Linked DNA regions of Oryzias latipes. Each later gene encodes a partner of the first gene's protein in a complex. Links are inferred from orthologs where the notes say so. Each region holds a gene or a part of one and is shown on either strand. Other genes may lie near its edges.

The links. Proteins that work in one complex are often made in the same cells at the same time.
Region 2: ubl4a (region 1) and get4 share a complex: the UniProt entries of both Homo sapiens proteins name them as parts of the BAG6/BAT3 complex. The link is inferred for Oryzias latipes from reciprocal best matches to the Homo sapiens genes UBL4A and GET4.

What each region holds. Positions count from the first base shown.
Region 1 is NC_019867.2:16,994,844-16,998,593, forward strand, and holds the start of ubl4a (ubiquitin-like protein 4A), read left to right. Parts: upstream 1-1,584; 5' UTR 1,585-1,732; coding exon 1,733-1,780; intron 1,781-2,970; coding exon 2,971-3,076; intron 3,077-3,164; coding exon 3,165-3,370; intron 3,371-3,566; coding exon 3,567-3,674; 3' UTR 3,675-3,750. Other genes in the region: cGMP-dependent protein kinase 1-like, read right to left, coding at 105-222, 295-481. UniProt on the Homo sapiens protein: As part of a cytosolic protein quality control complex, the BAG6/BAT3 complex, maintains misfolded and hydrophobic patches-containing proteins in a soluble state and participates in their proper delivery to the endoplasmic reticulum or alternatively can promote their sorting to the proteasome where they undergo degradation.
Region 2 is NC_019877.2:1,619,918-1,623,667, reverse strand, and holds the start of get4 (Golgi to ER traffic protein 4 homolog), read right to left. Parts: upstream 2,863-3,750; 5' UTR 2,380-2,862; intron 2,098-2,379; coding exon of another isoform or gene 2,094-2,097; coding exon 2,019-2,093; intron 1,859-2,018; coding exon 1,777-1,858; intron 1,700-1,776; coding exon 1,550-1,699; intron 503-1,549; coding exon 364-502; intron 1-363. UniProt on the Homo sapiens protein: As part of a cytosolic protein quality control complex, the BAG6/BAT3 complex, maintains misfolded and hydrophobic patches-containing proteins in a soluble state and participates in their proper delivery to the endoplasmic reticulum or alternatively can promote their sorting to the proteasome where they undergo degradation.

The DNA of each region.
Region 1 (3,750 bases):
AAGCCACAAATGCTGACTCAAAATGCTTGACCATTGAGTGATGCTAAAAAATTTGAAAAGTTGGCCTTCTTAGCTGAAGTTGGAGGAACACAGTGTGCTCTTACTGTTGACTTTTGTCACAGCTTTTGTGTGAAATCCTGGCGAGAGTCACGGGGTCCGGGCTGAAGGGTTCTGAAATGACTGTGTGCTTTTTAGCTCGCTCCATGCCCTCAATTTGAGGAGCTATAAAAAATAATTGAGATTTTTAGGTCACGTCTACAACCTGTACTTTTAAATGATTGACCTACTCTTTACCTGCACTGGGTGAGGGTCCTGAGAGGCAAACAGTGGTCCTGTAACGGTCCAGTTCTTCCTGTAGCCTTCGAATGAGTTCATCCTTTGTATCCAGTTCAAGCTCCAACTCATCTATGAGTGTGTCTCTCTGGCGGAGCTCCTCGATTTTTAGTTGCAGAGCAAACTGGAGGTCCCTCAGTGTACCCATGATCTGCAGGCATCAGCCAGGAAAGCACAAAGATAAACAGCTCGTTGCTATGAGAATAAAAAAGAAATTGTAATTTTTTATTTCACAAACTTAAATATGAAAAATATTATGCATATCTATCTATGTCAAAATGCTGCCTTGCAATTGTAGCACACATTTCCATCCAGGTTAAAGGCAAAAACAATTCATTGTCAAGTGCATCATAAGTTTATCCCACTAAAAAGAATACATTTTCAGAGTAAACAAATTATACTTTTTTTTATTATGTACGTTTTATGTGAAGCTGCAAGGTTTTATGTAGGCTATATAAAAATTGTCAAAAGAGAAAAAAACAATAACAAAGATAAATTGTCTTTATCATCTTAAATTTAATTACACTCAGCCACAGATCCATTGTTTTTTCAACACCTAATTGATGGATGGTACACAAATGCTACTCACCGGTGTAGGTGAGCAGTCCGCCTGGCGTCCTCAAGTGAAGGATGCTGGTCAGGAGGAATGCCCACAGCGCAGACAGGCGGTCACGTGACGCGGGCTCCCTCCAACCACGAGGAGGGGGAACAGAATGACACATGCACAGGCTGGATCCGAACTGGGTCAGAGGAAAGTAGTTCTAATGGGAAAATTTGACACTAAATTTTGCTTTCGGAAAGAAAAAAGAACGAGCATCTGCCCGACTTTGGACATTAAAAAAATGTCAATGCTGTAAACGCATTTTTTGTGAAAATCTTTTTGTGTATTGAACATAAGCAATAGAAGGTGGTCAGGTAATTATGGGTAAATTGTAACAGTAATCTACAGGTGAGTCGGATCCAATTTTCTTTTCAAATTGACAAACACGTTACTATTCAAATGTAATGTAATGACAAAAGTTTATCACCATGTTTTTTGTCTGTCAAAGGAAAAAAAACACCCATGTGTGTACAGGTGTATTGGCACAGTATCCTGCTTAGGAGATCAATTTGGATATCATCGCCTAACCACTTTAGTTCCGATAAACTTTTAATTGAACTTTAATCGTGGTGTCATTTCTTCTTAGCTGCGGTACATCCTTCATGCCAGTAGGCGGCAGCAGCATTACTTGATGTCAGCAACAGAGGCAGTGGCATCGTTGAGAGGAAACAGGAGAAGAAGATGGGACGCTGACGGGACCACAGCCAGTGTGGCTATAACGAGCAAACTTAGTAACCCTTTTGGCTGGACTTTAATCACATTATTGTGTGTTTTTGTTTTTAGTGAGAGTGTTGAAAAATGATTCTTACAGTAAAGCCACTTCAAGGGAAGGAGTGCAGTGTTCAGGTTAGTTAAAAAATCGAACTCCATAATGCTAATTTGCACAATCAGCTAGCCGGGTATATCTGTTAGCCGCTCAGCATCATAAGTTTTTTAAAGTGCTTTGAATAAAGTGAACATAAATTTAATTTATTAGTGACTGTAACTCTAACACTAACCAGTACTAAAGATGCGGTTGTACATATACACACCCGTTTATAGTTCTAAAGCAGCTTTACCGCAGCTAGCATGTTAGCTAATTTAGAAATGCAAGACGAAGAACTCTTTCTGTCTGAATCATTCTCGCTGAGGTCACGCCCAGCAGCTGAGTGGAAGTTGTTGTTACTCCTTACTTGGTGCTAATGCAGTAAAGAGAAGTGAGTAAGGAACCGCGGTGTATTAGAGGACTTTGTTTGGTCAGCGCGTTGAAACAAAAAACGGTGTTGGTATTATTTTACAGTTCAGCAGTTATATTTGCTGCTCCTGGATGTGCCTTTGTGTCAAATCAGTTAAGACATACAGTTGCATGAAAGCAGCATTATGAACCTGCTTCTCTTATCACAAATTTAGAATTGTATATATTTTTCATTTACATAAAGTAATCATTTTAAAACTCCACAGCACTTCATTAACTTTTTTAATTATGTAGTTATATATTCTATTTATAATTTTTTTTAACCAAAACATTTTTTTGGTTTTGTGTTGTTCTTATTTTGAGTACCGTAGTACTTATGATCATGTTTTTTTTCTTTAATGCCAACTTTAAAGTGTAGCGGTAATTACACATTATACATTATATATGGCTGTTCTTCAGATTAAGTCAAACATGTGCACTTAAAATTGGTCATACAAAGCCATTTAAGACATCTATTGAATTAGATTTTAAGCCGAGAATTTTATCCCAGACAAGACAGTGAGTTTTCGGCACATTTCGAAAAAAATACGAAGGCTTTGAATAAACAATATATTTGTAATTGTTTTGAATTATTGTAACAAATGTTTTTGTCTTGAGCTGATAAAACGTTTTCACAATAGGTACTTTGTTACTTTATTACATAAAATGAATTATTTATTTTGCCCGTTTAATACTGTTTTTATGTATTCATTTTTTTTATTATTGCATCCTTAGAACTTGTTTTCCCCGCAGTCTTTCTATACCAGTTGACTCTATTGTTCTTGTTTAAATTACAGTTTAAGAATTTGTTTTTATCCCACAGGTGACAGAAGATGAAAAGGTTTCCACAGTGAAGGAACTTGTTTCTGAGCAACTCAACATACCAGCAAACCAGCAGCGGCTGCTTTACAAAGGAAAGGCACTGGCAGGTAAAATTTGCCTACTACTTTTTTTTCTTTCCTTTATACTTTTGTCAGGTTCATAATTTATCTTTCTGTATGCCCTTTTTTCTTTCAGATGAACACAGACTTAGTGATTATTCCATTGGACCAGAGGCTAAATTGAACCTAGTAATCCGTCCTGCAGGAGAAAGATCTGCAGCCTCAGCAGTGACTGGCTGCAGCAGCAGGAACATGGGAGGACTGTGGCAGACTGTGTCCACTATACTTGCTAGACACTTCAGTCCAGCAGATGCAGCAAAAGTTCATGAACAGCTTATAAAGGTAAGATAAGTTTTTATTCATGGTTTCCCAAAAGTTGTAATGGTTAAAGTTCTGTTACTGCCTTTCAAACCCACTATATAAATTATATTACAAAACGAATGTCTATTTTAACTATTTAAAATAATTTGTCATGTTGTGAGCTTGACAGTTAAGCTCCTCTTTGTTATTACTAAACTTTGTTTTTGTTTGTTTTTAGGACTATGAACGTTCACTTCGACAGCTCAGCCTGGATGACATTGAACGACTAGCAGTGCGATTGCTTCACCCTGACAGCGAGAGCATGGACACCTCCTACATGGACTAGCATTGGAAAACCTAAATCTACTTTGTATGAATAGATTTAGGAGAAACTACATGTTTGGGAAAATAAATGTGAGGCC
Region 2 (3,750 bases), on another chromosome or scaffold:
AGACGAAGAAAAGGGAAGAGGGGCTCAGAATAAAGAACAAAGGCAGATCTGAACGTTCACAAGCATTTCCTGACAAACGCCGTCAGCGTGATGCGTTCAAATACTCCGTTAAATCAGGATTTATTGTGTGACGTTCACATCCAGATCCTTTGGAGCAAAATTAGCAGAACTGAAAGAGAATTTGTTTTTTTTAAACTATCAGCTGATAATAAAGAAAATATTTTGTTTTTTTCTTTATTTCGCATGAAGTCTTCCAATGTAAATGTATAAAGGAGCATAATCCTCCAATCAAAAGTCTGCAGTTGATTCCAGAAGATCAAGTGAGAATGTTTCATTCAAATGGATCCGTCTGCGTTCACTCACTGTAGGACGGCCTGCGCCACAAACAAGTCCACCTCGTTGCGGTATCCCCGGGACGCCGAGTACTCCACCAGCATCTGAGCACAGCCCTCCCCGTCAGACGAATGCAGGAAGTGATAACGGGACTCGCTGTAGTTTTGTTCTGAAAAGTCAGGAGGAGTCCATGATCCAGAAGCTGACGAATGCTTGAGCTTTCATGTGAAGAAGCCCTCAGATCATTTACAGATACGATCCTCAGACTGAAGCCAGTTCAAGTCCAGCTCTGATCCTCTTTGGATCCATTTTCAAAGCGTTTCCAGAGGGACTGTCACCATGACGACGCCGTTTTTAGCCTAAATCCAAAACCCAGTGTCGTTTTCTAGGACATAATTTCTGCAGAGCGTCAGAAATTCACCTCTGAGTTGTGGTCAGGACTGTCGGTACAGAGCAACCCCACCCCCCTTTCCCTTCTCCTTGCTGAGAGCTCTCTGTTTAAGCTGAGAAGGCAGTTTGTGGCCCCGCCCTGGGTATTAAGGTACATCACAAATACAATCTGTTTCAAACAGCATCTTTATGCCTGCTCCTGATTCACACTGATCTGGATAAAGAAAGACTCAGAAAGGCAATTTTAGGTCCCATTTCCTTCATACACGTCCTCCAACACCCTTTTCGTCAGAGCGGGTCTTTAAAGGACCTTAGTGGGGGGGCCGTCTCCCACTGAAAATAAACTATGTTTTTGAGTTCTTTTTACATTTCAGTAATAACTGTTAAATGGCAGAAATGCCCTGTGGGGGGGGGGGGGGGGCATCAGAAATGTGACAGAACCCTCCAGGTGAGTCCAGTTCTGAGGCTGACTGTGAGGCCCGTCTGGACCCAGAGGGGTTTATAAATGATTATGTGAAAATCTTCACCTGAAACTTTATACAATGATTATCATAACAACCTTCAACTGAGACTATTAAGTATTTCCACAAACACAGATGTTGTTACAAGCTTTTCGTTTTGAACCTTTTGCTCTGTCGGGTGGAAACAAACTGAGAACAGTCGGCGTCGCCCCAGGCCTTCCTGATGAGTCGCAGCACGACTTTCTCAGAAACGGTTCCACCCCTGAGGTTTTCGGACTCGTTTCCACAAATCCAGCTGAGCTCCGACGTGTCAAAGCTCCGTCAGGTGAAGTTTCTTCACAAACAACCACAGAACCACAGCTTACCTTTCCATAAGGTGAGAGCCAGCAGCTGGTGCAGCTTGGGATGGCCCAACTTGCTGGAGCCTCCAGTGGACCACTTCAAGGCCCTGGACACAAACGCCGCTCTCTCCGGAGAGTTCTGGTCCATCAGGCTGAACAGCTTAGCTAAATGTTCTGGTCCAACACAAGATCCACAGTCAAAATCAAGAGTTCTTTGTTGATTATGTGGTCCGGTTTTGGTCTCTACCTACCTAATATTTCGTCCTCAACTTTTGCGTCTGACTTCTCCAAAACCTCCAGCACCAACATGGACAGATCTGCTGCACTGTTTTGCTAAGAAGAAAACGCCACAAACTAGATTTTAGTATCAAAATAAAACTGTCAGTGACACAAATGTCTTTGTAAGCGGGGTGTTCGTTACCCACCAACCTGTGAACTGGCGTTCCCTGAGATAATAGAAATGTAAAGCGGGGCAGAAGTGAATGCGGTTTACCTGGTTGTGGCTGAAGAAGAGCAGAGCGCCGCGGTACATCAGCTCCCGCGCCTCAGCATGTTTAGCCTGAGACATGTACCTGATCAGAGAGGGAAGGGACGACATATGAAGGGTTGGTTTGGTTTTAGTTTGAATGTATAGCGACCTTTTTTAACCTTCCTGTCAGCTCAGAGTGAAGAGAATCAGCAGGACAGAGAAGTTATGAAACTTCACAGCAACATAGGAGGAAGGTTAGCTTGTTTACAATTAAGATAAACCATAAACAACCAAACTGGGGAACTTATAATCGCATTTAAGAGCCTTTAGTTACAAATTTATCAGAGATGACATTGAGGAAACACTTTTATCCAACCGAACTTACAGTTATAAAGATCAGGACACTCTGGCTGCGTGTCTTTCCCAAGGACTCAAAAACTTTCAAGATCACAATCTGAGACAAACTGATTGACAGCCGGCTGTTTACCAGGGGAAGCGGAACCAGCCCCACTAATACTTTACATTTAAAAACAATTTTAAAAAATTAAATAGAATAGACGATACAAACAGGAACAGTTCCAAACCCGAAAATAATAACCACAGCTTTATTTTTTTAACCCGGTGAAGAAGCACGAAATGTGCTACAGCAACATGCTAACACAGCTGGCTAGCTTTAGCAAACCTTTTATAAATAATTACCATCCTGCTACAACAAAGCAGCTGCTGCTTTAAATGTAATTTTAAAACAATTAATATTTCTCAAAAGATAATCAAATTAAACTGCGTTTTTGCCTTAAATTAGTCAAAAAATCTTCTGTCATGAGCTAAATACTAGCGGCGCTGTTCGGAACCTCGCTAGCTAACAGTTAGACTGACAGGACCGTCGACCAATCACATACGGGGAACTACAGAGAAAGGCGGGGCCCTGGTGTGGCGTAACCAATCATAAGCATTCCTGAAAGCAGGGTTGACAGCCGAATGATCTGGAACCGACAGGCCTCGAATCTAAATTACAACTGCCGTTTTAAAAAGAAAAGTCTCACCTAAAAAATAAAGTTCTGTACATTTGATGCGCTTCATAGTAATCTCCTCTTTCCACGCTGGCTCGCAGCTTTCCTTCCACCCTCTGGACGCCTCCGCGGTTTCTAACGCTGGAGCACCTCAGAGACTCCGGATCCGACATGGTCGATCCTTCTCCGCAGCAGCCGCTCCACAGAAGGCGGGGTAATCTGCCCCTCGTTGCTTGCCGTAGCGATATGCGAAGTTAGAGTATTTTTAATTATTTCTGTGTTTCTTGTTATATAATTTCATATTTGCTTACAATCATTTAACACGTTTAAAGAAATATATTTCAAATCAAAATTTTATCGAAGACAGCGAAAAAAGAGTGTTTTTCTCTTAAAACTGACATTTGCTAAGTTTCACATCCAAAACAAAGTTCCAGTTTAAACTCTATCCTTAAGAATTAAAATATGTTGCCACACACTATATAAACAAAAAACTTTTAAATGCATCGAAATAATTTATTTGTCCCCATAATTCATCTAATCCTTTTTTCCCCTTTACTTTTATTCAATAATAATGTGAATGGTTACTTCAAAAACACTAAAAACCAAATCATTTCGTCTTTATAAGACCTCCATGTAGCAGTAAAACGTTTAAAATTTGACTTTACAATGAGAAGGGAACCTCAATTAATCTCTGGTGCATCTGCACTATAATTTATGTTCATAATAAAACTTAATACACAAAGAAA